Linked DNA regions of Styela clava. The protein of the gene in region 3 purifies or fractionates together with the protein of the main gene of each other region. This does not show direct contact. Links are inferred from orthologs where the notes say so. Each region holds a gene or a part of one and is shown on either strand. Other genes may lie near its edges.

The links.
Region 1: the proteins of putative pre-mRNA-splicing factor ATP-dependent RNA helicase PRP1 (region 3) and uncharacterized protein LOC120345481 purify together in Homo sapiens (affinity purification with mass spectrometry; 4 studies listed by BioGRID and IntAct, with this or other methods). This does not show direct contact. The link is inferred for Styela clava from reciprocal best matches to the Homo sapiens genes DHX15 and FUS.
Region 2: the proteins of putative pre-mRNA-splicing factor ATP-dependent RNA helicase PRP1 (region 3) and calcium homeostasis endoplasmic reticulum protein-like purify together in Homo sapiens (co-immunoprecipitation; 3 studies listed by BioGRID and IntAct, with this or other methods). This does not show direct contact. The link is inferred for Styela clava from reciprocal best matches to the Homo sapiens genes DHX15 and CHERP.
Region 4: the proteins of putative pre-mRNA-splicing factor ATP-dependent RNA helicase PRP1 (region 3) and splicing factor 3A subunit 3-like fractionate together in Homo sapiens (co-fractionation; 3 studies listed by BioGRID and IntAct, with this or other methods). This does not show direct contact. The link is inferred for Styela clava from reciprocal best matches to the Homo sapiens genes DHX15 and SF3A3.

The regions. Positions count from the first base shown.
Region 1 is NC_135250.1:20,547,118-20,554,439, reverse strand, and holds the start of uncharacterized protein LOC120345481, read right to left. Parts: upstream 3,021-7,322; 5' UTR 2,882-3,020; coding exon 2,863-2,881; intron 1,993-2,862; coding exon 1,877-1,992; intron 1,641-1,876; coding exon 1,514-1,640; intron 1,087-1,513; coding exon 725-1,086; intron 657-724; coding exon 536-656; intron 395-535; coding exon 278-394; intron 109-277; coding exon 1-108. Other genes in the region: salivary peroxidase/catechol oxidase-like, read right to left, coding at 6,641-7,322. UniProt on the Homo sapiens protein: DNA/RNA-binding protein that plays a role in various cellular processes such as transcription regulation, RNA splicing, RNA transport, DNA repair and damage response. Binds to ssRNA containing the consensus sequence 5'-AGGUAA-3'.
Region 2 is NC_135250.1:12,309,927-12,317,388, reverse strand, and holds the start of calcium homeostasis endoplasmic reticulum protein-like, read left to right. Parts: upstream 1-4,438; 5' UTR 4,439-4,544; coding exon 4,545-4,569; intron 4,570-4,761; coding exon 4,762-4,932; intron 4,933-5,301; coding exon 5,302-5,477; intron 5,478-5,614; coding exon 5,615-5,738; intron 5,739-5,813; coding exon 5,814-5,971; intron 5,972-6,621; coding exon 6,622-6,768; intron 6,769-7,089; coding exon 7,090-7,248; intron 7,249-7,462. Other genes in the region: uncharacterized protein LOC144419834, read left to right, coding at 2,828-3,157. UniProt on the Homo sapiens protein: Involved in calcium homeostasis, growth and proliferation.
Region 3 is NC_135250.1:17,942,135-17,949,628, forward strand, and holds the start of putative pre-mRNA-splicing factor ATP-dependent RNA helicase PRP1, read right to left. Parts: upstream 3,026-7,494; 5' UTR 2,922-3,025; coding exon 726-2,921; 3' UTR 1-725.
Region 4 is NC_135256.1:16,760,599-16,767,863, reverse strand, and holds splicing factor 3A subunit 3-like, read left to right. Parts: upstream 1-4,896; 5' UTR 4,897-5,047; coding exon 5,048-6,556; 3' UTR 6,557-6,748; downstream 6,749-7,265. Other genes in the region: GLIPR1-like protein 1, read left to right, coding at 36-98, 340-456, 666-760, 844-985, 1,438-1,547, 2,049-2,149, 2,278-2,328, 2,470-2,596 and 1 more. UniProt on the Homo sapiens protein: Component of the 17S U2 SnRNP complex of the spliceosome, a large ribonucleoprotein complex that removes introns from transcribed pre-mRNAs.

The DNA.
Region 1 (7,322 bases), about 2.6 Mb from region 3:
GATCACCACCACCTCTACCACGACCACCACCATCTCTTCCACCACCTTGATCAAATCTGCTTCCTCGTCCACCCCCCCTACTGTCATATCCTCTACCACCTCCGCCACCTGAAATAGCCAATCATTTACAGGTCAGTAACATAAATTCACCTCAGCGAAAAATTTAAAAAACACAGACAGTGATTGAATTATATTCCTACTTGAGCAGGAAAATATTTTTTAAATGATATTGCTAATTTCACACTCTAACCATCAAACAGATGGCTAAGTTACTCACCAGAACCATACCCTCTATCTTGATAACCCTGGTTCTTATTTCCATATTGCCCCATGGGCCCCTGTTGACTTTGATTATAGTTATTGGGACCCTGGTCTCCACCGTAGTTTCCACCACCTAGCATGCCATAAGAATAAGTAAGTTAGAAATGGGAATATTAATTTATAATTATTTAAACTTATGTATCAAGCAATATAAATTAATCATATATATATATATATATATTGTTTGAAACTAAACGAGTATAGTCCAGCTTACCAGACTGATCATTTCTGTAGCCGCCTCCTCCCCCACCACCTTGCTGACCATAAGACTGTGAACCTCCCCCGGAACCACTGTCCCGTTGGCCGTATGATTGATTTCTGCTACCTCCGCCAGACTGCAAGAAAACAAACATTATAAAAACAGTTCATTTTCAAATTCACCCAAAACAAAATTTCAATTCACCTGGCCGTAGCTCCCACTGCCACCTGAATTTCCACCGGATCCATACGATTGCTGAGACTGCTGTTGTCCACCACGATGACCTCCCCCATATCCTCCTTGCTGCTGTCCACCATAGCCACCTTGCTGCTGACCACCATAACCACTTTGTTGTGGTCCACCATAACCACCTTGCTGTCCACTGTAACCACTCTGTTGTTGCTGACCACCATAGCCACCACCTTGCTGTTGTCCAGATTGCTGTCCACTGGCTCCACCTTGTTGGTAGCCGCTATTGTTTTTCTGACCACCATAACTAGTACTACCACCAGCAGAAGCAGCAGCAGCAGGTGCAGCTCCAGTCTGCTGTTGTCCATAACCCTGGCCTGGAAAATTGATATGTAGTACAGGATATGACCAATCAAATACATACGATTTAACCAGGGCTGAGTTAAGGGGGATTTAAACGAGATTATCAAATCTGAGCTATTTCAAAAATGACTGCTGTACCATGCGTCCGATTCCTGATTAATAAAAATTTGGCATATGATATCGGATTGAAGCAATTTCAACTCAGAATTCCAGCTACGAAAGATAATTTGTTGATGTATTCAAGCCTTATTTCATTTTATATCAAGACTTGGAAAACGCCCAATAAACCCAATACATTTTAGTTTCCATCTGTGATTTTGACTCCAAGCAAATGTTTGGAAGTCAGACTTCTATTTCTATTAGGACTCCGACTTTATATCAATAAAAGCATGTCAAACTCTGACTCACTGTCTCAGTCATAATTATATTGCTACCACATACCTCCAGATTGGTTGTTCGATCCATAGCTGCCATAACCACCCTGTTGCTGATAGCTTGAACCATATCCTTGGGCACTAGTCACTCCGCCTGCGCCTCCGCTTTGTTGCCCACCAGCTGATCCATAGCCCTGAACAAAAAATAAAATTTTTTAACATTTTGTAGGGACCAATGATTATGCAAAACGGGGATTGCCAGAAGCAACGATGGTTCACTATTGATTGAATATCGTAATAAATAAAACTCTTTTCTAAATTCAGGTATAAATATTATTATAGGCTAATGTATTTAACATTATTATAATTTTGATGTCTTACTAACGTAAATTCAATCTTAAAATTTTAAAACTGTTCAAATACAATTTACCTGCTGACCATAACCTTGAGTGCCACCCCCGCTTTGAGAGTAATTAGATTGTCCATATCCCTGTCCACCAGATGCACCATAAGATGGCTGTCCATATCCACCGGAGGATCCATATTCTGGAAAGTACAAATTACAAATTTAATTTCAAACTTGATTATTTGAATATTTTTAAAGCCTACTGTCAGTGCAAATATGTTTGGATTCTTTTAAACTCAAATGACTGAATGATGATGATATTGATAATGATGCTCATTACAACCGTAGGATTTTCAGTGCAGCCCTTTCAAGATTATTTTGGATTAAATGTCGTCTTATAACTTTGGACCAACTATTTTACTGTCACTTTGTCATTATCTGATATAGAAAAATAACAAAAAAAATGAAAAAAGTGGATCAAAATTTAGGCTGAAATACAGTGAATAATTTGTCATGACACCTATAATATGCGAAGGACGATTGATAACGATATTGTTCCGAAAGCCTTTTTTTCCCCACATTGTATATCTGTATATAGTCACCCGATAAATATTATCTAGCACTGTAGCATGCATGTGGCCGGTCCTATTATCAAATTGACAGATTTAAATTCGTGCATAAATTACTCTAAAATCTGAAAATGCCAATTTGACGGCCCTAATTTAAATTGCTTTCGATAAATTCATTTAACAGGACTCACTTGCAACGATGATTGTTTTTATTTATCGCTGGTTATGTTATTCATATTTACCTAGTAATGCTTGGAAAAAAAATATTGCGGTTTTGAGTCAATATGGAGGCCCAGACTGTCTCGTAAAGGAGGATTTGCAATCACTCTTATAATTGATGTCTTTTGATGTCGGGGTTATAGCCTACCTACAGTCAGACAGTCCAGCAGTCTGAGTGAACGGAGCGCTTAGTTACTAGATTATTATTTCATAAAAACTGCTTAAAAATAAAGACAGTTTCCAAATGTTGAATAAGAAAATGACATAAAATAATTCACTTACGAGAATTAGAAGACGCCATAAATAAGTAAATCCTGTTCCACAAATAAGCTTGAAGAGTCGACCAAGGACAGACGGATAAATCGTCTGAAAGCAGAAAAGCGGGAAAGCGAAAGAAATCAGCGACGACAGTACGACACGCTTATTCGTTGAATTGACGTTGCCAGTTTTTTTCTATTTGATTACCGTCATTTATTTACTAAGAAAGTCAAGATCTATCAAATTCGACCGTAAAGTAAAACCACAGTGTTTATTGTCTAAAATACAGTTTTAGCAAGTGCAAGAATGTGTTTCTTCTAATATAGAGTCTTTAGATAATTGTTCATCTTCACTTGTGCGTGTGTGTGTTGTCAACTCGAATGTCTCCTTTGCCACTGCAAATTTCCAAAATAATATTATAGTACAAACCATTGTTTCAATTAAAATGTAGTTGAAAACTATTATATTTTTTGTGCCGGTGTTTAGCGAATACCGTTCAATTGGCTGACAGAAAGGAGTACAATAGATGACAAGTCGAAAAAAACTTTCATGAAAAATCTGGCAAAGCAAAAGGATTTAGTCACGTGAGTAATGACAAATTTTAATTTTTACAAGTAAAGCGAGAAAATCGATAGCGTCGGGTTACATCGACGCTCGCCCATCGACCGGTTCGGTTATCGACTGTACCGACAAAAGTAACTCGTACTCGTAACAGAACTAATATAAGGAAAATTGGAATAAAATTGTGGCCCAACCCTAACCTGGTACACATTCTACGTTCCGGTGTCCGCCACCTTGGTACGCATACTTCAGGACTCTAATTACCGCACCTCTAATTACTCTGCGTGGGTTCGCAGGTTCGAATCCCATGCAGGGATGGTTATGTGCGAGAGGATTGCTGGACTCCTCGCCGTCGTTGGGTGGTTCACGTAACCGCTGGTCGGTTACGGCTTCCTCTATCACCAAGTCCATGCTTCCGAAAACAAACAATACAGTTATACATATGTATAAGCCGTCTTATCGGCTTTCCTCTCCCCCGGGATAAATATGTAAATCCTATCCTACTTCCCTTTAATTTTTATTTGATAACGGGAAAAAAATGATGACAAGAATTATCAACCCATTAATATTCAAATCAAAAAATATTCAAACCGGTAAAATTTTTAAACAAGCCTGCAAAATTGCATGTCGAGGCACCTAGGCTTCAGCCTACCTTGCATAATGATGAATCCGGCACTGGATACTGTTGGGAAATAGGATAGGATAGGATTTACATATTTATCCCGGGGGAGAGGAAAGCCGATAAGACGGCTTATCCATATGGCGAACCACGGCCTCTCGTCCGGTTACCATTCCAAGTCGGGTATGGGATTAGTTTTTTACTGTATTGTTTGTTTTTTTCGGAAGCATGGACTTGGTGGTGGAGGAAGCCGTAACCGACCAGCGGTTACGTGAACCACCCAACGATGGCGAGGAGTCCAGCAATCCTCTCGCACATAACCATCCCTGCATGGGGTTCGAACCTGCGAACCCACGCAGAGTAATTAGAGGTGCGGTGGCGAGCGTATTCCTAACGCTTAGCCCGTTGAGCCACACCACCGCGCCGATAGTTGGTGATTGATAGATTCACCCAAATATTTCATTGACGATCAAATTATTTCGGTTTGCTTAAAATGTCTCAAAATTCTCACGATTCTGGAAAAATCCATTAAAGATACAGTATTGACAATAAATATATATATCTAGGGCATGAGCTAACATTAAGATTAATCATCCGTGTTCTGAGAGACACAGGGTTTGAATACATCATTTTACATAAGGATATGAATAAACATAAATTCGGAGAAATTTCAAAAAATACGTCGTGGTACTATTTGAAAAAGAAAAAATTATTCATGAAGATTATATGAAGTGATAGCACGACGCATTGGGGTTTCTGCAAAATCGAATACCTCAGCCCTTTGTGTATATTTTCCTTACCATTTACAGCTTTTGATAAACCGCAACCATCATGGGTTGTACATATGGTTTTGCTCAATGTTATTCGACTAATCCAGATGTGTACACATATGATCCAGTGATATCCCTACACCCCCTATAGGGGGTGAACACCCCCCCTAAAATTTCAAACACCCCCCCCCCCTAATTTTGAGGTGCGATTCCACGCTGTTATTCCGTAATTCCTAACTCAATTATAATTGTATTTAAATATAACGACTATGGCATATTTATCAGTGTAGATGGGGGGGCGGTGTTATACAGAATCAGAATTACCATTACAAATTATATATATATATATATATATTCGAAAATAAAATATTCGAAACTTACATCCCTGAAAATTTTTTCAGTGCAACTTAGGCCTAAGTAGCATTGAATGGCATCAGTCTCTCCATCAAATTTGATTATTCTTGGATGCAGAATATGCCTAAATCCTCTATGACAGCGGTTCCCAAACGGTGCGCCGCGCCGAGTTGCTAAGTTCGCCGCGAAAAATAACAGAATTGTGTTTAAAAACAACTAAAATATGATTGAATATTTCACAAATTGTATTTATTATCAATTTTTTATTGTTTCATATTTTAAATGCTGTGTATATGAATCAATAAATTCATTCCACGTTTCTATGTCGTTTACTTTCTGTTAGGTAGGGTCTGCCTGTATTGTTACATAACAATGCAGAGAGACACTCTTTGCTGCAGTTTATTTATCTGTTGGACCGGGTTTAGCGAACATGAGTGATTAGTTTACAATTTTATAGGAAAATCAGGCAGAGATGAGGAAGAATAGTTGACCTTTTGCCTTTGTTCTATAGGCCTAAATGTTTACAAACTTTGAAAGGCATATAATAAAATTGAGTTTCATTTAAATGCAGCCTTTTTTTTCGTACAAGTGCGCCGTGAGTGTGTAATTCCTTGCTATTTTACTTTTTCTCTGACAGTTTTGAATTGCTAGTTCAGTACCAAATATGAACCCATACGTAACTCGTCAGTGGTGATTTATTTCTAAAATATAGTATAATAATAAGTATTTCCTACTTTCGTTTCTAACATTTTTGATAACAGGTAAATCTGAAGTACTTTCAGCTTGCCTTCAAATTTTTGATTTATCATAATATAGAGTGAATAGGTAAGTACATTTTTTTTTGTTGTTTCGCTGTCGCAAAATATTATATTCCATATGAAGCTATTATGAGATAATACACCATATATTTTTTTAAAATATACTCTGTAAAATAGTCAATGTCCAACTTTTTAAATTTCGCACAAGCAAATTCCCGCGTACTCGCAAATAGGACTTTATACAAATGACATCTGTTTACTGAAGCTTGTAAATTTTGTTATTATGTTTTCTTACTCTGAAATATATTTTTATGAATGATAGAAATCATTCGAAACCTGAGCTAATCCTTTCTAGAAACCAAGGATGAATATTGCGGAACGCTAGTTCAATATTATCTTGGATTTTATCTGCATTCTTCTATCACTGAGATTGTTTATCCCATGTTGCATTTGAAGCACTCATTTAAAAAATTGAATAAATAGTAAAAACATTTTGCTAATGGCGTTTAATTATAAGACATAAACTGAGAAATCACTCAGATACATGCAATTTTATTAAAAATACAATAAAAAATTATTTTTATATATACATTGCGACACAGGGTGTCTCGGATAATAACAATCAACCGCTTTTTTGGTGTTATTTCTAGTGATTTGTTTGAGTTGGCAATAAAAGCATGATTGTCTAATGTAGCAAAATTCAGTTGCCTCAATATTTCAGTGGTTATCACCTATATATGTTATACATCACAACATTGTCTGTATTCCTTGCACATATACTGGGCAGATAGAAGTACCGACGATGGAACGACGTTTTTAACGTGTTTACTCCGGACATTATCACAACATATCCCAAATAGTTCGCAGAAGGCAGACTTTGTGTGCAATACAGATAAAGGCACACCCATTTTATTTGGGTCTAGAGCATTTTCTTTCTTTAACGACTTGAAGGAAGAATCCATCGATCCATAATTCTTTTGTACCCGTTGGCATAAGCCTCTGACCTTGTAATTATTGCATTTTCCATTCAATTGGTGCTTATCTTTGCATGTAAATCCGGCATTTGGCCCAAAATGCTCGAACACATCTCCAGTTTCGCTGGCAAACTTGTTCCCAAATTGTGTCTTTGCCTGTATAGCGACGAGGTTCTCACACCCAAAATTATTACTTTCCACGGTTTGGCTGTAAATCCATTGCGTCCAGTAGTATTTGTCTGAAAGTTCATGTGGAAAGTCGGTGAGTCCAATTGTGCCAGGATAACAGGAATACCGGATCTGTAAATGTGAGTCTCCTCTAACATACCTAGTTTGCGTTTCCAGATATTTGTTACAAATTTGATGAGGTCTTTCCATTGTCATGCGATGCTTGAATGCATGTTCGTCTAGTCTCCACACGCTGTGCTCATTTGTTATGAACCAAGCA
Region 2 (7,462 bases), about 5.6 Mb from region 3:
TTCCAAAAATTTGTACATTTAACTGATGTCGATTATAAAATAATGAATTCCAAAACTATTTTCAGAAGAGACTGGTTCACTTCGGATATTATGAACACGGCACAACTAATTTTGTCATCTCGGTATTCTGAAGTAGACTTGTTATACAGCGCTATCTGGCCCTAAAGTGTATATTCCTTTTCAAAAATTTGTTTGTGCACGAGAATCACTGGGTAACAGCATCAAATATATTCACCCCTGACCAAAATACCATACAGATTTATGATAGCTCAAATATGAAGTACAATGAAAATGACGAATATGCGATTTCGCTTCTTACGCGGCCAAGGCAAGGAACAAATAAAGTACCAATTGAATTCCCCGCTGTCAAGCAACAAACTTTATGTGCATCGTGTGGCCCATTCTCGATTAGTTTTTGCATAGCCCTATGTAACAAAATACGACCAGAGCATATACTATTTGACGAGAAAAATCGTAGGAAGAAAATATGCGATGGTGTTTCATTAACTTTTTAAGCTATTAACCTGAATCAACAAGCGTTTTAGGTGTCGCTGCCTGAAGACCTCTTGAGGTCCCTCGCGACTCCTGTCACAAAATTTAAGTTAGTTTCCACTTGTATTTGTAATATTTTTTCATATATCATACCATGTTTAAATTGTGTTGACGAATAAATGATGATTGATTGATTGATGGTATGGTCTCTGAAAATTTTTCGTCGGTATTTAACATCAACAAGAAACGTGTTATACCCGCGTCCAGGCGATTGGAAATTCCGATACTTCGCAACTGTCAACTGTCTTACATTGAAAATCAGACCATGATCGAATGCACTTCATGTTTGAAATGGTACCATCCGAAATGTTGTAGTGTTCCAGTCCCAGTTTAGGCACTGGAAAACAGCGAAATAGAATGGAATTGCAAAAAGTGCATCCGATGCTAAATTACACGCAAAACAATATTCAACTAGATATGATGATTTACATTCTCATTTTTTTGAGGTACATCGTTCAAGTCAGACGAAGGATCAGTCTGTTTTACCTATTTGGCTTAACATGCCCTTTGCCAGGTTTTTCTCTCTTGGTCTAGTCTACAATACTGAGATGAAAACCGCCACGATGGTTGGCACCTTGACGTGGTGTGGTGGCTTTCTAGTAAGACCAACCAACCATTTTAGGAAATTTTTTAAAATATAAGATAGATCCCCGGTAGGGAAGAATGAGATGATTTCACAATTCGTTTATGTTATCTTACTTAAATTGAGGCACGCCATTATAATCTATACAGTATGTGGGTTGTGATAGCGTTGTTTATTAATTTTAAGTCGGATTCTTGTTTGGGTCATGTGTGACAAGATATATATTATTATATATATGTTCCCGACATACAATTTTTCTTAAACACGGTTCGAGGTTACTTAACAATATATATGTTTATTTGGGATATTTTATTTAAAAGTGGGGCACGTGATTGAAAAGTACAGAATTTGGGGTTGAAATACTGATATTTATTACATTTGAAGTAAAATTCCTGTTTGAGCCATGTTTGACAAGATATTAATATATGTTCCCGACATACGATTTTTCTCAAACTTGGTTCGAGGTTACTTCACAATATGTTCTTTTGGGATATCTTATCTAAAAGTGGGGCACATAATCAAAAAGTACAAACTTTTGGGTTGAAATACTAATATTTATTAATTTCGATGTAAAATTCATGGTTTCGCCATGTTTGACAAGATACTGTTGTTGTTCACCAATGCCAAGCAATAAAGCCATTTTACTTTTGTACAGTTGTAGTCTAGGTATACAAGTATATAAATTACAAGAACAAAATTGCCTGGATGTGTAGTAATTGATAGACCATTATTTTTTAATGAAAAGAAAAAAATACAAAGAACATTATGCCATTGAAAATGTACGGCCCCGTAGTGATGTACACCAAAGTTGGGTCTCATGTAGTTTCGTACCTAACATACTTCTAGTGATATTTATTACATTTGATGTAAAATTCCTGATTGAGCCATGTTTGACAAGATATTAATATATGTTCCCGACATACAAATTTTCTCAAACTTGGTTTGAAATGACTTCACAATATGTTTTTTTGAAATGTCTTATCTAAAAGTGGGGCACCTAATTAAAAAGTATAGAATTTAGGGTTAAAATGCAGATATTTATTAATTTTGATGTGAAATTCCTGTTCGGCCATGTTTGACAATGTATTATTATATGTTCCCAACATACAAATTTTATAAAACTTGGATTAGGATGACTTCATTTTAAGTTCATTCTTATATCACCTTCAAAAATCTGCCCGACCATCGGAAATTACAGATGAGTTTTGTGCAATTCCGAGTGTAGCAAAATTTCGCCGTAAATCTGGCAAGTGCTTTGCGACTAGATTCCCCTTTTTCGCCATGTTAAATTGTTTTCTGGCAACGCTATTTTACCGTTCCGAAAACGAGAGAGAGATATGTCCGCTAGGGCAACTTTGGGTTTGGGGGTCTCCTTACCTAACATACCGTACTTCTAGTGGGTGTAGCATAACAATATGATATGTCAACTCAATCCTAACCCCCATCTGACTACGGCCTCTTGACTACGTCATGCTACGCTCACTAGAAGTATGTACGAAACTGCATGAGACCCAACTTCGGTGTACCGTACATCACTACGGTGCCGTACGGTACATTTTCAATGGCATAATGTTCTTTGTATTTTTTTCTTTTCATTAATTAATAATGGTCTATCAATTACTACACATCCAGGCAATTTGTTCTTGTAATTTATATACCTGTATACCTGGACTACAACTGTACAAACGCAAAATGGCTTTTTTGCTTGGCATTGGTGAACAAGATAAAGCTTTGGAGAGCAATGCTGAATTATTGCAACAAATGGCATTGTTGAAGTATTTACAGTCTAATGAATCTTCGTCTGCCTCAAGTACAATATACCAGTGGATTACTGCAGCACGAATTGGTAATGAACTGTACCAGAGAGTTTCAGGAAAACGCAAGATTGAACAATTCAGAGCTGAATTTTTGGCAGGAGTTGTATCATATCTGCAGAAAAACCCAAATGCATCTCCCAAAAGTCAGAAGACAGAAATTGAAAGATTAATTGGTGTTTTTATCCTGCAAATGAAGTCTTTATAAGTGAAAAAAGATGATATTTTTGGAAATAATTTTGATTCCATTTATGATTATTTTGCTTTTGCACTTACGCATTTGCAATATTGCAGTATTTTGAACTTTGAAAATATGAATTGTTTCTGATATTTCACTTAACATTGACTTTTTTACTATTTTTGTTTTGAACCATGGCTCTCATCCATTAACCCTTTGTTAGATTAAACTTTTGTTAGATTAAAAAGTGCATACAAGGCTATTACTGGGACTAGTAGAGGTTGTGAATAATACATGTTTTGGTTTTAAGAAACGCTTTCATTTCAAACATATCGACACATGTAGATGCATTTTCATTTTTATACCTCACAGATTGTTGATATATTGTGGTTGATACCTTTGATTGTATTATATTTTCACAAAGTCTGTCGCTTGATTGACGACATTGACTAACACAGATTTATATCCAATATTACATTGTCATTTAGCTAGGCCAAAATATGCTTGGTGCACCCACTTAAAATTATATACAATGCTGTGGAAACATTCATATTGTAAAACAGCTCATCCACAAAATAATATAATTTTATTGTGTCTCCTTGACTACTTTAGCATTCTGAGGAGGAGCCATTATGCGGTCTCCTTATGAAACAATGCAAAAGTTTGTAAGTTGGCATTTTTGATTGAGGTGATCTTTATAACAATGCCGTTTTTATGCTTTGTTGGGCACTATGTAAAATAAATTTTTGACAATACTGCATGGGGAAGAATTCATTTAGTGCTTCTGTTTTTTCTGTTTTGTTAAGTATGCTATGGAGAATTTATTTTTCTCCTATCGCCAGACAATTTAGTCTAAACTGTCAATGTGAATAAATATAGGAGCAGTCGTAGAAATTGATATATATTTATGTCATCGAAAAAAGGGTTTTGCATATTTGCTTTTAAATTAATAATAGAATTAAGTACAGCATATCAGAGACAATTTTCCAACACATTCCTACGTTAGCTAATAATAAATTTCGACTGAATTGCAAGTTGTATTATTTGTAAATGGTGATTCAAATTGAGAAAAATAAACATATTGGTATATTTCAATAAAATATGTAGAAAATCGTAAATATACCTTATATTAATCACAATGTTATTGGATGCATAACTGAAATAGAAAATCCTTGTAGTAGAAATTTCATGAATATTCATTTACAGCAAACTTTAATTTTAAAAAATAAAAAGTATGATATGGCTGTTTAGATTTGATATAAGGAAAGAATTGTTTATTTTCATTGTTTATTTTTATTTGTATGCTTGAAAAAGGGTTTAATATCTTGTATAAATATTCGTGTACTTATCTTCAAATATAGCTACATAGAGCCTGTAAGATTTAGCAATATATTGCCTGCATTTTCCAATCTATAATATGGATGTTCTACAACCACCAGTGGGTAAGATGAATTTATCTCTTATTTTGAAAATTTCAACTCAAATTTTATTGGCTTTGAGAATAAAATTGTGAAATCATGTTTTGGGTTCATTTACTTTATATAAATGTTGTTACCTAATAAAACTGCTAAAATATCCAAAATCAGACTTATTCAGAATAAACTTTTTTTTTTTTAAAAACATCTTTTCAAAAGAACCTGAGGTGAAAAATATCATTGACAAATTGGCAAACTTTGTTGCAAGAAATGGAGCAGAATTTGAGAAGATGACGAAAGAAAAACAAAAAGGGAACCCAAAATTTTCATTTTTATTTGGCGGGGAACATTATAATTACTACCAATACAAACTATCAACAGAACAACAAAGTAAGGAAATTATTTTTTATATTTTTGGGAAATTTAATTTTGTGTTTGTTCAAATGAAATCCAGTATAAGTTTCGAATATTCGTTTTACATCTTTTGCCTGTAAGGGTGCTGTTCAAAGACGCAACGGTCTATTAGAAAGTTTTTCTTTCTTAATTATGGTATTCAATCTAGATTACACCACTGATCATATTGCAGAGTTTTTACATCAGTCTGATTGTCCAAAGTTACTCATGAGTCATGACTTTTAAAATCTCATGTTTTTATATTATATCCTGTTTACATTAAACCTGTTGCAAATTTTGAAGTTTGTATTTATACTCTCTCATCATGTTAATTTTTCGCTGTATTCTTTTTTATTGCATTTTCAGTTCAAAATCAGCAAAAAGCAAAATTGAATGCGCAAGTAGTTGCACAAGAAGCAATGGTACAACATTCATTGCAGAATGCACCTTGGCAACGAAATCCTCAACAACAGCAAAGTCAGCAACAAGCAATTCCACCTCTGATGCCACAATTCCCAAGGTTTCCCCCTAATATGAGAATGGTATGTCAGGTGTTCTGTTTTTTGTATTTTTGGTAGATGGATGATGGCTAATACACAGTGTTAGTCTTGTATGTGGTTTTATATCTATTTCTTTTTGTAATCTCATTTTATATACTGATCTTCTTATTATATTATAGCCAATGTCGAATGCTCCGCCATGGCAGCCACAGTCCCAAAGATTCATGCCACCGAATTCAGGACCAAACATGCATCAGCCGCCACCTCCGTTCCCAGGCCCCGGTAATAACCAGACAGTACCAAGTTAGTGACACTTTGATTCATCAAAATTTGAAGTCGAAGTGACAAAATTTTTTTTTTAATGAAAACTGTTTTTAGACATGCCGATGCCTCCTAATCAGCAAATGGGTGGACAACCACCACCACAAAATTTCAATATGCCGTATCGACAACCACCACAGAACATGCCACCCAGGACATCAAGGTTTAGTCAGTTACCACCAGAGCAGTCTCAAACTTTACCAAGTCAAAATCAGGTTTGAAATTTGTCATTTCATTTTAGTTCATATATATATCAGTGGTTCTCAATGTGGTATGGGGGAGCTTTTAAAATGGTACGCGAGCAGCTTTGAATTATTGCAACAATTAGTTTTTGAGTTTGCTAATATATGGCAGCAACACTTTCTCTTTATATTTAATACTGTATGTATTCGCTAAACGGGTTCATAGCGCTACCAGTCCTTGTCTTTAGAGATAGCCCTCGTCCGCTACTGCCCAACTAAAATGAAACGAGAGTGTAATAATTAAAACCTTTCAGCTTTGACAGTAGACGATGCAAATTCTTTCGTGCTTCTGCACACAATTATTACGTTGTTAGGACATATATTTAATATGTTGAAACTTTGCACGAAGATCTAGAAATGGATGTAGTGCCACATTATAAAATAGTCCCATAGCACGTTGCTTGTGCCTTTGTTGCCCACCCCAAAAGGGGGCTTCAATGGTGTTACGCTGTTGGAGTAAAAAAAAACACTAAAGAACCACTGATATAGATGTACAAATTGAAAATTTGATATGTTCACATAGTATTCTGTCATGTTATCAAACTATGTTCTACTCTAAACAGGGCGTTGGGCAAGCAGCTGTTGAATAAATTATATTGTTTGATGTAGTTCATTTTGTTCAGGAACCTGAAGACAAAAAAGCATCAGACTTGAGTCAAGGCAAAGACGAAGAAGGCCAAGAAAATGAAGAATATCAAATTGTTCAAGCTGAAAACGAAGCCAAAATAAAAATTGAGAAAAGCAGCAGTAACTTAAAACAACAATATGAGGTCATGATGCACATCTGTACTATTAACTATATACAGGATGACGCAAAATGAATAGAACTCATAAATTTATTTAATACCTAAACACTTGAACTCCTGTTTGTGTATGATTATACCTACAAGTTTCAGTATTCTAGGACAGTTTGCACCAGTTATGTTCTCTCCACAATATGTTTCGAATTTCCCGGGTTCTGTTTTTTCAGGTTACCCTGGAATTTTGTTAATTGCATTCAAGATGCGCACAATTTTTCTTTATCGCAGGCCTGTAAATGGCTTTTTTCAAATTTTTGTATTTGTATTCTTTATAATAAATTTTTAATTCAGGTTTTGATGCACCAACAACAAGAAAAAATTGATGCTGCAATAGCTCAGACCGAAGAAGAAAAATTAAGAAATCTCGCTTCGAGTACAGGAATTATAACTTCTGATTTCGATGTTGTTTTGCAACCCATTATCAACACTTGCACCAAGGACTCAATTTCAGTGAGCAATAAGCTTGTTGGTCCTTTGTTATAGTTCTGGACTGTTTGCTAATTTATTTTGGATAAACAACGGCAATATTTGTTACAATTCAGTAGACTTGTAAAGAAATGTTAGTACAAAGTACAAAGAAGCTGACTAATGCATTGGGAAATTTATATTCAGTTAATTTACTCAATTCTAATTTAGTAGATAGATTTAGTTGTGGTAAGAGAGT
Region 3 (7,494 bases):
GATTACAGAAAAGAAAATTATGGCTGAAATCACAAAATAAATATCATCCAAACTTTTCCAATTTGCAATTGTGAGGCCATGTATAGGTAGTTACTTGAAAGAGTTTAAAAGCAATGAATCTGGTTGAGAGGAAACAAATGGAGGTCTGAAAATAGTTACTAATTCGCTAAAAATAGTCTTACTTTTCGCCAGTTAGGTGAAAAAAATTAACCTCAGTGATAAAGTACAAACTTCAGATTTCTACAATACTGCTTCTTTGCACATCTAGTCAGAATTTATCATAACCAACACCCACAATTTTTAGGTTTTCGAAGGTTTGGGATGCTAAATATAAATTATTTTCAAACTTTTCTCCAATCAATAATATAACACAAGGAACATATTCACAAAAGTAACAATATCTTGTAGAAAACTCTGAAAGACAAAAACATGAGAAAATCAAGCAGCCTGTTTTGTTTCGAAGTTTTAACAGTATGAGATAGTATGAGAGACCTTCCATTTAATGCGTTTGTTTTTCCAGACATTTTGAGCCAATACTCAAATTCACAAACTGTGTGAAATTTGGTTCAAACATAAGAAATTCCCCTGATTCATATCTTCCTTACATTGTATGAGCAAACTCACACATATACAACTTTCACCACCACAAGAGTTCATGAGCACATACATTTATGTGGCTAATGTCTAGGAATGATAGTTACATTTCACATATTGTTATTAATGAATCATTCAGCAGATACACGTTCCCTAGCAGCTTGTTTCGCTATAAGTCTTTCTAACTGACGTTTCGCTTCACATTGGGGAAAGTTGTCCATGTGATAATATTGTGGTGCAATCTTGATTAACCAATCAGCTTTAATATCAGAATTGGTGCGAATGTAATTCTTTGTCGTTAATACAAACTCATTATATAGAACCCATTCGGGCTTGTGATCAAGGCATGTTGAAGGATGTAGCTGGACAACTTGATTATCTTTAACTGTTAAATAGTGACCTGTTCTTTCTAGATGAGCAACTTGCATAAAAAATCCTGAAACAAGTGCTTTTCTAATATTGATGTAATAGTCACGACTAGCAAAGTCAGTACTTCTACGAGGTAGTGCGAATCGATCCATAATTCGTGCTAATTGTTGTCGCACATTGTCAGCTGATGCCATCGATCGATGATTAATGAAGTTGTCATAACACCACTGATTATTGGTTTGGTTTTGCTTGTATGCATGATAAACATTAAGTAGAGTCAAATGGTCTCCATCAATATGAGCAAATCTCATTTTCGCTTCATCAGCAGCTTTTTTTGCTTCGCTTGGTCGGACAAAGCATTGTGGGACAGACAACATGGCAGTAATGCTGAGAATTTCATTGGAGCAGTTATAGTCACAACTAGCAACAAGCATTTTTGCAAGTTGAGGATCGAGAGGAAACTCAGCCATGATTGATCCAAGTTCAGTAAGATCACCATCATCATTGAGTGCAGCTAAGTAGTTGAGTAGTTCCAATGCTCGCATGAGGGTTTCTGGAGCAGGAGGATCCATAAAATCAAAATGTACTAAATCATCGATTCCCAACTTTTTGAGCTGTAAAACAACAGAGCCAAGATTGGAACGTAAAATTTCAGGATATGTATTTTCATGCATTTCTGTTTTATAAGCCTTTTCAGTGTAAAGACGAAAACATTTTCCAGGTCTTGTTCGACCAGCACGTCCTGCTCTCTGTTGTGCACTGGCTTTACTTATAGCAGACACCAGAAGCGATTCAACTCTAATACGAGGATTGTAAACTTTTTGCTTGGAAAATCCAGGATCTATGACAAAGACAATTCCATCGATTGTCAAAGATGTTTCTGCAATATTAGTCGATACGACGATTTTTCTTCCAATAGCTCCATTTGGTTTTTTGGGAGGAGCACTTTCAAAAATACGCTGCTGTTGTTGCGGGGGAAGGGTGGAATATAGTGGTATCACTTTGACATCTCCAACTTCTGACCCAAGATTGTCGATTTCATTTTTTATTCGTCGACATGCTTCATCAATTTCTTCTTGGCCAGTAAGAAACATAAGGATGTCGCCTTCCTCTTCTTCGCAAAGATGAATCTGGATAACGGTTCGAATAGCAGCTTCTAAATAATCACGTTCTGGCTCAGGTGTGTAAAAAATCTCAACAGGATGTGTACGACCTGGGATGCTCAACAATGGTGCATTGTCAAAATAATGTTGAAATTTGCCCGCATCAAGAGTGGCACTCATAACAACGATTTTCAGGTCCGGACGTTGCTTTGTGACTTCTTTTATAACACCCAGGAGAATATCAGTGGCTAATGTACGTTCGTGAGCCTCATCTAGCAAAATAACATTGTAACGCTCCATCAATGGATCGGCCATTGCTTCCCTGAGCAACATACCATCAGTCATGTACTTCAAAATAGTGCGTTGAGATGAGCAGTCTTCAAAACGAATAGAATATCCTACCTCTTGGCCAATCATGACATCCATTTCTTCAGACACACGCTGAGCAACGCTCATAGCTGCCACACGACGCGGTTGTGTACAAGCAACACCCTTTCTTGTAGACACCGCACATGCTGTTCTAACATACTCTGCACACCATTGAGGAATTTGAGTAGTTTTTCCAGAACCTGTTTCCCCAACCAAAACAAGTGTTTGATGATTTTCTAGCAATTTCATGAATTTTTCTTTGTATTCCCACACTGGTAAACCGAGCCGCTTCTTCAAAATGTCATAATATCTTTGTGTATATGGAAGTTGAGTGAGAGGGTTGAGTGGCAATGCAGGCTTTGGGATCGGGATAGAAGTGTGGTTATCTGATTTACGATCGTAATCTCTGTCTCGATCCCTGTCGTGCTCTGACCGCCTTTTTTTCTTGTGATCATCGCCGATATCTAACCTGTGCCTCTTCGACATGCTTTCGCGTAGTATGCGGGAAACAAATTTTCAAAAATTTAGAGAATAAATCAGTGCTGGGCGCCTCCCAAAACCAGAATACACGTGGGATAGACCACTGTGAATCCAGCGGAATTTCAGCGGAAAAATATTCTGCAGTTTTCAAATGGTTCCCATGCGGAAAATGATCTCTTATTACAATATTTATGAGGGATAAATGGATCCTATTTGAAATAATATGTTCCGAAGGAAACAACTCAGACCAAAACATAAGTTTAAGCACATTTAGCTGGTAGTGGTAACTACAACATACATAACTGTATATCACATAAAACAGAAAAACTAAAACGTACTAGAATATATTTGCAGAATGAAAAAAAAATACAAAATAAAAATAGGCTACTTTTGATGGGAACACAAAACATCGGAAAATATTTTTTTCAATGTTACATGCAAACTTTAGGGTTCGAGACCAAATGCGAATGTGATCCGCAAAGTTCCGACAATTTTTAACAGTAATTTTGAATAGTACCAATAGTGATAAGTATTATATATAAAAGTTGAAGGAAACAAAGCGGGACTTTATGATTTATGGGGCTCCAAATACAGGCCAAAAACGAGATTTTCCGAAATTTGAGGCGTACTCGATATATCGAGGCCAAATTCGAATATGTTGCTTAATATGCCGACAACTTTTGACAACGATTTCGATCACATGTATAAGTCAAGTGTCTAACACATAAGTATGATCAACAGCGGAATAAAACTTGACAAAATAGGGCCCTTCAAAAATTGACAAAAAATCAGATTTTGCTATATTTCGTGCGAACTCAATGATTCGATGCCGAATTCGAATATGATCCGCAAGGTGCCGACAACTTTTAACAGTAATTTTGAATAGTAGCAATAGTGAAAAGTATTATATATAAAAGTTGAAGGAAATAAAGCGGGACTTTATGATTTATGGGGCTCCAAATACAGGCCAAAAACGAGATTTTCTGAAATTTTATGCGTACTCGATATATCGAGGCCGAATTCGAATATGTTGCTTTATATGCCGACAATTTTTGACAACGATTTCGATCACATGTATAAGTCAAGTGTCTACCACCAAAGTATGATCAACAGCGGAACAAAACTTAACAAAATATGGCCCTTCAAAAATTGACGAAAAATCAGATTTTGCTGTATTTCGTGCGAACTCAATGATTCGATGCCGAATTCGAATATGATCCGCAAAGTGCCGACAACTTTTAACAGTAATTTTGAATAGTACCAATAGTGAAAAGTAATATATATAAAAGTTGAAGGGAACAAAGCTGGACTTTGTGATTTATGGGCTCAAAATACAGGCCAAAAACGAGATTTTCTGAAATTTGAGGCGTACTCGATATATCGAGGCCGAATTCGAATATGTTGCTTAATATGCCGACAAATTTTGACAACGATTTAGATCACATCTATAAGTCAAGTGTCTAACACCAAAGTATGATCAACAGCGGAAAAAAACTTAACAAAATATGGCCCTTCAAAAATTGACGAAAAATCAGATTTTGCTGTATTTCGTTCGAACTCAATGATTCGATGCCGAATTCGAATATGATCCGCAAAGTGCCGACAACTTTTAACAGTAATTTTGAATAGTAGCAAAAGTAAAAAGTATTATATATAAAAGTTGAAGGGAACAAAGCTGGACTTTATGATTTATGGGGCTCCAAATACAGGCCAAAAACGAGATTTTCCGAAATTTGAGGCGTACTCGATCTATCGAGGCCAAATTCGAATATGTTGCTTAATATGCCGACAACTTTTGACAACGATTTCGATCACATGTATAAGTCAAGTGTCTAACACCTAAGTAGGATCAACAGCGGAGCAAAACTTGACAAAATATGGCCCTTCAAAAATTGACAAAAAATCAGATTTTGCTATATTTCGTGCGAACTCAATGATTCGATGCCGAATTCGAACATGATCCGCAAAGTGCCGACAACTTTTAACAGTAATTTTGAATAGTACCAATGGTGAAAAGTATTATATATAAAAGTTGAAGGGAACAAAGCGGGACTTTATGATTTATGGGGCTCCAAATGCAGGCCAAAAACGAGATTTTCTGAAATTTTATGCGTACTCGATATATCGAGGCCGAATTCGAATATGTTGCTTTATATGCCGACAACTTTTGACAACGATTTCGATTACATGTATGAGTCAAGTGTCTACCACCAAAGTATGATCAACAGCGGAACAAAACTTAACAAAATATGGCCCTTCAAAAATTGACAAAAAATCAGATTTTGCTGTATTTCGTGCGAACTCAATGATTCGATGCCGAATTCGAATATGATCCGCAAAGTGCCGACAACTTTTAACAGTAATTTTGAATAGTACCAATAGTGAAAAGTAATATATATAAAAGTTGAAGGGAACAAAGCTGGACTTTATGATTTATGGGCTCAAAATACAGGCCAAAAACGAGATTTTCTGAAATTTGAGGCGTACTCGATATATCGAGGCCGAATTTGAATATGTTGCTTAATATGCCGACAACTTTTGACAACGATTTCGATCACATCTATAAGTCAAGTGTCTAACACCAATGTATGATCAACAGCGGAAAAAAAACATAACAAAATATGGCCCTTCAAAAATTGACGAAAAATCAGATTTTGCTGTATTTCGTGCGAACTCAATGATTCGATGCCGAATTCGAATATGATCCGCAAAGTGCCGACAACTTTTAACAGTAATTTTGAATAGTAGCAAAAGTGAAAAGTATTATATATAAAAGTTGAAGGGAACAAAGCTGGACTTTATGATTTATGGGGCTCCAAATACAGGCCAAAAACGAGATTTTCTGAAATTTTGTGCGTACTCGATATATCGAGGCCGAATTCGAATATGTTGCTTTATATGCCGACAACTTTTGACAACGATTTCGATCACATGTATAAGTCAAGTGTTTACCACCAAAGTATGATCAACAGCGGAACATAACTTAACAAAATATGGTTCTTCAAAAATTGACGAAAAATCAGATTTTGCTGTATTTCGTGCGAACTCAATGATTCGATGCCGAATTCGAATATGATCCGCAAAGTGCCGACAACTTTTAACAGTAATTTTGAATAGTACCAATGGTGAAAAGTATTATATATAAAAGTTGAAGGGAACAAAGCGGGACTTTATGATTTATGGGGCTCCAAATACAGGCCAAAAACGAGATTTTCTTAAATTTTATGCGTACTCGATATATCGAGGCCGAATTCGAATATGTTGCTTTATATGCCGACAACTTTTGACAACGATTTCGATCACATGTATAAGTCAAGTGTCTAACACCAAAGTATGATCAACAGCGGAACAAAACTTAACAAAATATGGCCCTTCAAAAATTGACGTAAAATCAGATTTTGCTGTATTTCGTGCGAACTCAATGATTCGATGCCGAATTCGTATATGATCCGCAAAGTGCCGACAACTTTTAACAGTAATTTTGAATACTACCAATAGTGAAAAGTAATATATATAAAAGTTGAAGGGAACAAAGCTGGACTTTATGATTTATGGGCTCAAAATACAGGCTAAAAACGAGATTTTCCGAAATTTGAAGCGTACTCGATATATCGAGGCCGAATTCGAATATGTTGCTTAATATGCCGACAACTTTTGACAACGATTTCGATCACATGTATAAGTCAAGGGCCTCGATATATCGAGTACGCCTCAAATTTCGGAAAATCTCGTTTTTGGCCTGTATTTGGAGCCCCATAAGTCATAAAGTCCCGCTTTGTTCCCTACAACTTTTATATATAATACTTTTCACTATTGGTACTATTCAAAATTACTGTTAAATGTTGTCGGCACTTTGCGGATCATATTCGAATTCGGCATCGAATCATTGAGTTCGCACGAAATACAGCAAAATCTGATTTTTCGTCAATTTTTGAAGGGCCATATTTTGTTAAGTTTTGTTCCGCTGTTGATCATACTTTGGTGTTAGACACTTGACTTATACATGTGATCGAAATCGTTGTCAAAAGTTGTCGGCATATTAAGCAACATGTTCGAATTCGGCCTCGATATATCGAGTACGCCTCAAATTTCAGAAAATCTCGTTTATGGCCTGTATTTGGAGCCCCATAAATCATAAAGTCCAGCTTTGTTCCCTCCAACTTTTATATATATTACTTTTCACTATTGGTAATATTCAAAATTACTGTTAAAAGTTCTCGGCACTTTGCGGATTATATTCGAATTCGGCATCGAATCATTGAGTTCGCACGAAATACAGCAAAATCTGATTTTTTGTCAATTTTTGAAGGGCCATATTTTGTTAAGTTTTGTTCCGCTGTTGATCATACTTTGGTGTTAGACACTTAATTTATACATGTGATCGAAATCGTTGTCAAAAGTTGTCGGCATATTAAGCAACATATTCGAATTCGGCCTCGATATATCGAGTACGCCTCAAATTTCGGAAAATCTCGTTTTAAGCCTATATTTGGAGCCCCATAAATCATAAAGTCCCGCTTTGTTCCCTACAACTTTTATATATAATACTTTTCACTATTGGTACTATTCAAAATTACTG
Region 4 (7,265 bases), on a different chromosome or scaffold from region 3:
TGTGAGAGTAGGGCTCAGTGCATACTAAAGGAAAAATGGCGAAGTGGCTGTTACCAATAATTATCCTTCAATTAGTCGCCTTGTTGTCGGCACTAAGGGTAAGTTAAAACTAATTTTGGATGAAATTCGCCAGAAAATGCATATATACATGTAACAGTCTTGTCGGTAAAGCTTTACTCAGGTGCGGACTAGTCTATCTTATCAAAGAACCATGCTTTGATAAAAAAAAATATAACACGCTTTTATGTATATATATACATAGTAAACACCATTTAATTAATAATAATATATGTTCTTTCTGATAAATACATTACTGAAGTCATATTTTCCTTCGTTTAGGTCAAACGCGGCGCAGGGCCTACAATTATTCCATTGAATGATACCGCAAAGATGACAATTTTAAATCGTCACAACGAATTAAGGCGATCGAGCGGATCCTCCAACATGAGATATATGGTATGGGAAGAAATATGCCGTGGAGAGGAATTCGAGAAACCGTGATTTATATTATGAAAATGACTACTGTATAAATAATCATTGATTAATTGATCCATGATATAATGTAACTGGCTCGTACTGTTTATAAATATGTAAACATATTATGGATTCATTAATTTTATCTTACGTGTAAATAATTTATGTTAATACATTTCATATATATTTAGACTTGGGACAGTGAACTTGCATACTTGGCTCAGGAATATTGCAAACAATGTCACTTTGGTCACAATAAAAATAGGAAACATTCGCGAGGATGGAGGTACGACATGGCTATTTTTTTTACCAAAGTTACGTTATATATATATATTTTATTTCCACTAATAATGGAATGCATACATTTAGCGTCGGTGAAAACATACATGCTTCAAGTGGAACAATAAAAAACGTAGAAAATTCAGTGCAATCATGGTTTAGTGAAATTAGCTATTTTGATTACAACTCAAAAACTTGTCAATCAGGAAAAATGTGCGGACATTACACTCAGGTATCGTATGAAAACATTGTAACGTGATTAAAAACTCTCGAATTAAAATACTGCAAATAGAAAAGAATAACTACTCGTTGTCGTCCTCTCGCCAGGCATATTTGGTGCGATAATAATGTTGCTATATTCATCTTTAAAATGGAAGATATGCAAATGCATTACGTATTACGGATAACGGAATCCTAAAATTCGCTTTGACTCATATAGATGAAGTCACCATTTGAGACGAATCAGACATGACTAAATTGGGTACACATCCACTTTGGAAATAGAACAGGCTACGCAACACGTGAAAATGATTGCTCCACCATTATTTTTCGGAGATTAGCGTTAGCCAACTAATACGTTCACATCATTATAACTTTTGAATTACGTACTTGAAAATGGACTGTCATACAAAAATACGTGGTTCTTATTCCAGCACTTAATTATTGTATATCCTATTTCAATAGGTTGTCTGGGCCAAGACGTTCAAAGTCGGATGTGCAATGGTTTCATGCAAAACTTTATCTGGAGTAGACTGGGGATCTGGCACTATGTTTTTGTGCAATTATGCGACCGCGTAAGTTTTGTTACCAAATAGTTAAATGGTTAAATGACAGATTCATTTGCTTCAGCTGTGAAGTTATACATTCCAGTAATTTGCACAGTAAGCCAGTCGCTCGCTTAATGGGTATATTGTAACATGAGCATCTTTATCTTATGTGTAAATTAAATGTTCATATTTTTGTTAAAGATGGACAAGTTTCACTATTCTCAATGCTAGATATCCACAAGAATATAATTTTTTGTGAGAAGTGTAAAACATTTTCAATGCAAAACATCTAATAAAACAATATGTTGCCTTCTGAGATCAGCTGTGTACTGATTGCTATTCTGTAACAACTTAAAAAGTTCTGCATCGAGTTTTTCCTGACTTTTAGGGAAAAAAATCATTTTTGTTATAAACCTCAAAATCGATCAATATATTCCAAAATTAATATCGATCATTTTTCAAAGGTATGGCCCAACTAACCACTCTTGCTTTTGACCATAAACTAACTAACTCCTACGTTTCATACAGGGGAAATGTATATATGTCTGGTAAAATGATGTCCGTGTTTGAAAAAGGAACTGCATGCTCCAAGTGTGGAGAAAAGGACTACTGCAGAAATCAACTGTGTGGTACGTGAATATGTTTTGTTCTTGGTTGAAATTTCATGTTTAAGCTTTAAATGTCATACGTGGCATGATTGCGGTGCGATTTCATTTATTCCCATATTAAACAACTTCTACTAATTTATATTTTTCAGCCAACAGCGAAAGAGACTTCATTACCAATTCAGCTGATGAAAGTGTACCAAGTAATGGTGATATTTTGTATAGGCTAATATTGTCCAAATCCAAACTCAACAGAATAAAGCAACCGAGGTTAAAGTAACCAATTAAAAACCATTGGTATAGTATGCCTACATTCAAAACAAAAATATATTTTTCTATTACAGCTTCTTCTAATAGCGCTGGATCCACTGCGGCTATCGTGATTCTTGTATTGCTATTGTTAGCTCTACTTGGATTTGTTATCTTTCGTGAGAAAAACAATATTTCAGACAAGTTTAATACCTGGAAAAGGTAAAAATGTCATAAATAATACTGAAACCTATATGAATATTTTTTAAGCCTTTATCGTTCGAAGCAATTAAAAACATTGGACTTCACTAATATTTTTTACAGAATTACATATTTATTTAGAGGCAACAAAAGCAACGTACCGCATCGTCCCAACGCTGGATCAGGTGAAGCAAGAGCAAACGATGCTTATGTTCAAGATAAAACACGGCCACCTGTTCCTCCTCCAACGTACCGTTAGATACACATAATTACCTTAAACTATCAGAATAGTTTTCAAAATATATAATATTTGAGCTCTAAAATATTTTCATTATATATATAATAACTCAGTATTTTATTTAAATTCGATGCCTTCAATCTGGACTTCAATTTATTTTACTAAAATCGTAATTTTGAGATCATAGTTAAACGAAACAAATTTTATTTATTTATCTGTTTAATATGTACTAATCTCTAATTATCAATAATTATGTTGTGGAACAAGCTTATACTATTTCTATTAAAGGCCGACTCAATTATTTATTCTCATAATCAACTACTGTTTATTTTACCGGAATTTATTATAACAAATAGAATTAATATTTATAAAAATTCAACCAAAATCGATTTTATTATTATGATATTTTGTAAACTTTTTTTTTACATATTATCAACTGAAAGATGGTATTATTCAGTGGTTGGATTCAGGATGTTCGCACGGGTTCGCGCGAATCGAACCTGGTCATGTTTTCCAGGGCTATAAGTTTGTCACGATTTTCAAAATGATAGAATCTGTTATTAACGCATCCAATACAAGAGAGAACCCATTTTTAACATTTTGAATCCAATCAGTATCATCAACCATGCATAAACATCACTAAATTAGGACTAGACTGCTTAGATTATTATTCTGTTATGGGCTAAATGAAATTCTAACATTCTAATCCAAAACCTGGCTGGAAAGTCTAGCTGTAACACAGGATGGGAGATGAAGTAAGCTGGTGTAAATTGGAACAGTTATACAACACCGGTTAGATTGGCCGGAACATCGGGAAAATATACAATACATTTACTAATGGGTTGCTGAAGAAATGTATGTTTTCTTTACGAATTGATTTGATTGGTCGAAATGGCTGGTATTGACCATCTTACTAGATTTATGAAACAACCGAGTCGAAAACTATTAAAATCATTTCACTATTATATCGTACAAAATAGTGAGATCTTTCTTTTCTTTTTATACGGATATATTAAATAAAATATAACTACTAAATCGTCAATTTATTGTATATTACCAATGATTAAATAAATGCAGTGTCATTCTCAGTTCTGTATTCTTCTAAATAATATTGCATTGCATTTAGAGTTCCACAAAGATTGATATATATAGCCCAGGGGTTTCCAAACTTTATTGACCGCGAGCCAAAATTTGAATCGGAAGGATGTACGCGGGCCGGAAGTATGTAGTGTCCCGGAAGTATGCGAGGGTTTAGCTGGGGTTCAGTGGATTCACGTTTGACATTTTTCGAAACATGTTTGTTTGACTCATAATGGCGCTTCATGTGGTATTGTTTCAGAATTGGAATAGTTCGTTGGCAAAGTGGACAAATCTCTGAAGCGTGATTCTTTTCAATAAAGAAACACGAACGATGCTATTCATCCGAGGAAAGTCTGTTTTCAGAGTCTAGTTTATTATTTGGCATCTCTAACCTTTCTTCTATGACTGATAACTAAATTACTACCCTATGTAATCCTAATACCGGTACGTATAACTGAGATATCGGCATAATCGAATTGTTACCATGAACACGAGCTTAAAATGGGATAACGACATAACAATTGGCGGTTTCTAGGTTGTAAAAAGGTTAAAACAAAATCTATGTCAATATTTCACTTAAGCTCGGCGGGCCGCGGTTTGGGAACCCCTGATATAGCCCAATAGAATTCAGTGGTTTTAGATATATATCTGGCATGGAAACAAGTACATATGTAAAACTGTGAATAAAATAGAGGCAATTGAAGTCTTTATAATGCCCACTTTTCGTTACGAGATAAGGTTTAAAATTACCTATACCTGGATCACCAATCATCTGTACAATACTGCCGAAAGTGGCAGTATAACTGTATGATTCGACATTCACATTATTATGCAATTTTCAAGCAAACATTTAATTTTAAATTTTATTGTTAAGTAGAAACTTATTTAAAATATTAACGAATGAATGTAAATTCGTTCAACGGTTATTGTTTGATAATTCACGCCATAATATAAATGGAAACAAATATAACACGAAAAATCTGGCATCACTAACAAACTACTCATATTGAAAAGCACTACGACCCTTCAGTTCACTCTGCGAAGCTAGCAGCAGATTTTCGAATTCGACTGGCTTGCTGTGTTTGTGTAACGTTATACCTATCGGGACGTTCGCTGTTGCTGATTTATATGGTCCTGGTTTTTCGTTATCTGCGATGGAGACCACGTTAGAACAACAGCGTAGGCTGCATGAAGAAAAAGAGCGTTTATATGATGCTATGACAAAGGAAAGCATGCATAAGAAATCAGCGGTTCGTGAACAAATCAACTCAGACCACAGAATGAGGCATCTGCTAGATCGTGTTATGGACAATTCAGTTAGATTACAGGAGCTGTACGAAGACAAGGACGGTTTAAGAAAAGCTGAAATACAAGCAATTGCGGGTCCAAATGAATTTGGTGAGTTTTATAAACGGTTACGGGAAATCAAAGATTTTCACAAAAAACATCCAAATGAAGTGTTTGTTCCCATGTCTATGGAATTTGAAGAGTTGAATCAAGCGAGAGAAAATGCAAGCGATGAAGCAACAATACTTGTTGAATTTACTGATGAAGAGTCCTATGGTCGCTTTTTAGATTTACATGAATCACACTTGCGTTATATTAACATAAAAGGCATTGAAAAACTAACTTATGTTAGATATTTAGATGCATTTGATCGCTTGTTTGAAATTCCACGAGATAGGAAAAATACTCAATATCATGACTACATTGATGGTTTATTGCAGTATCTTGTATCGTTTGTTGAACGCATTAAACCTTTACTCGACTTGAATGTCGAGCATGATGAGGTTTTGAAAAAGTTTGAATTGCAATGGGAAACAAATGAATTTCCTGGCTGGGGTAAAGAGGCTGGAAGTGCGATGGCTCATTCTGGAGCTCATCTTGATCTAAGTGCTTTCACATCAGCAGAAGAACTTGCATCATTAGGTCTTGATAGGTTGAAGTCTGCGCTGATGGCATTGAGTCTGAAGTGTGGTGGAACTTTAGAGCAAAGAGCTGAAAGATTGTTCAGCACGAAAGGAAAAACGATGGATGAAATTGAAACATCATTGTATTCTAAAAGTAAAATTAAAGCTGGAAAGAAGGATTTAACATCTCAACGCAATAAAGAAACTGCCATGGTAGAGGCACAAATATATCACCTAGTTGAGCTTGTTAGTGAACAAAGGGCTGCCACAAGGGATAATGTACAACGTCGACAAGCACGTACTGATACAGAGCGTGATGAAGATGAGGATGATGTTATGTCTGATAGTGATTCAGGAGATGATGAGGATGAAGTGATTTATAATCCCAAGAATCTTCCTCTTGGCTGGGATGGCAAACCGATCCCTTACTGGCTTTATAAACTCCATGGTCTTAATATCAACTACAGCTGTGAGATTTGCGGAAATCAAACTTACAGAGGACCAAAGGCATTTCAACGACATTTTGCTGAATGGCGTCATGCACATGGGATGCGTTGCCTTGGTATTCCTAACACTGCCCATTTTGCCAATGTTACAAAAATTGAAGATGCGATGGCGTTGTGGTCAAAAATTAAAGAAATGAAAAATGCAGAGAGATGGAATCCAGACCAAGAAGAGGAATATGAAGACTCTGCTGGAAATGTTGTCTCAAAAAAGACATACGAGGACCTGAAAAGACAAGGCTTATTATGAGCATTTGTGTTGTTTATCAACTTTAGGAAATGCGAAAGAGCTCGTGGACTTAAACTCAATCAACCTGTGTTCTTACAGGAGTAGCATTAAGAAATAAACTTGAACATTCTTGAATCATCAGAAATATTTTTTATATATTTGCATTCGATAGAACTCTCTGGATTGGTATAAATACACTGGTATTGTCAGGTACTTTGACTGAATTGATATCACTTTACATGCCAATATTCTTGATGAATTCCACTTATCATTGCGAACTCAACAATGTACACATGGAGAGATTTAAAAAATATTTTTCGCTCACCATGAAATGAAAGGCTGTTACCATGTTCTTTCTGAATATCAGCAAATTGATATTGGGTAATTTAATGAGCATTGAATTGGTGATAGCCAAAATATAATATTGTTAAGAAAGGATGGGATTAGTTGTAATTTATCGCCGTTGAGATATGACATTGGTTTTAGTTGACACGTTCATTGATGCTAGCTTGTTGTCATTCATGTTTGTAAGTATCTTCCTCATTGGCCCATTGTCAGTTCTAATGTTAAGGGCTTTTTAGCCCTAATTTCAAAAGATGCCTGATGAAGTTATTAGCAAATGAAGCTTTTATTGTTGCTATGTCAGAAATTTGTAAATTCTATCATAGAAGAAATAGACCCAACAAAACTGTACAATCAGTTCTGCACAAAAAAAAACGCAGTTAGTATG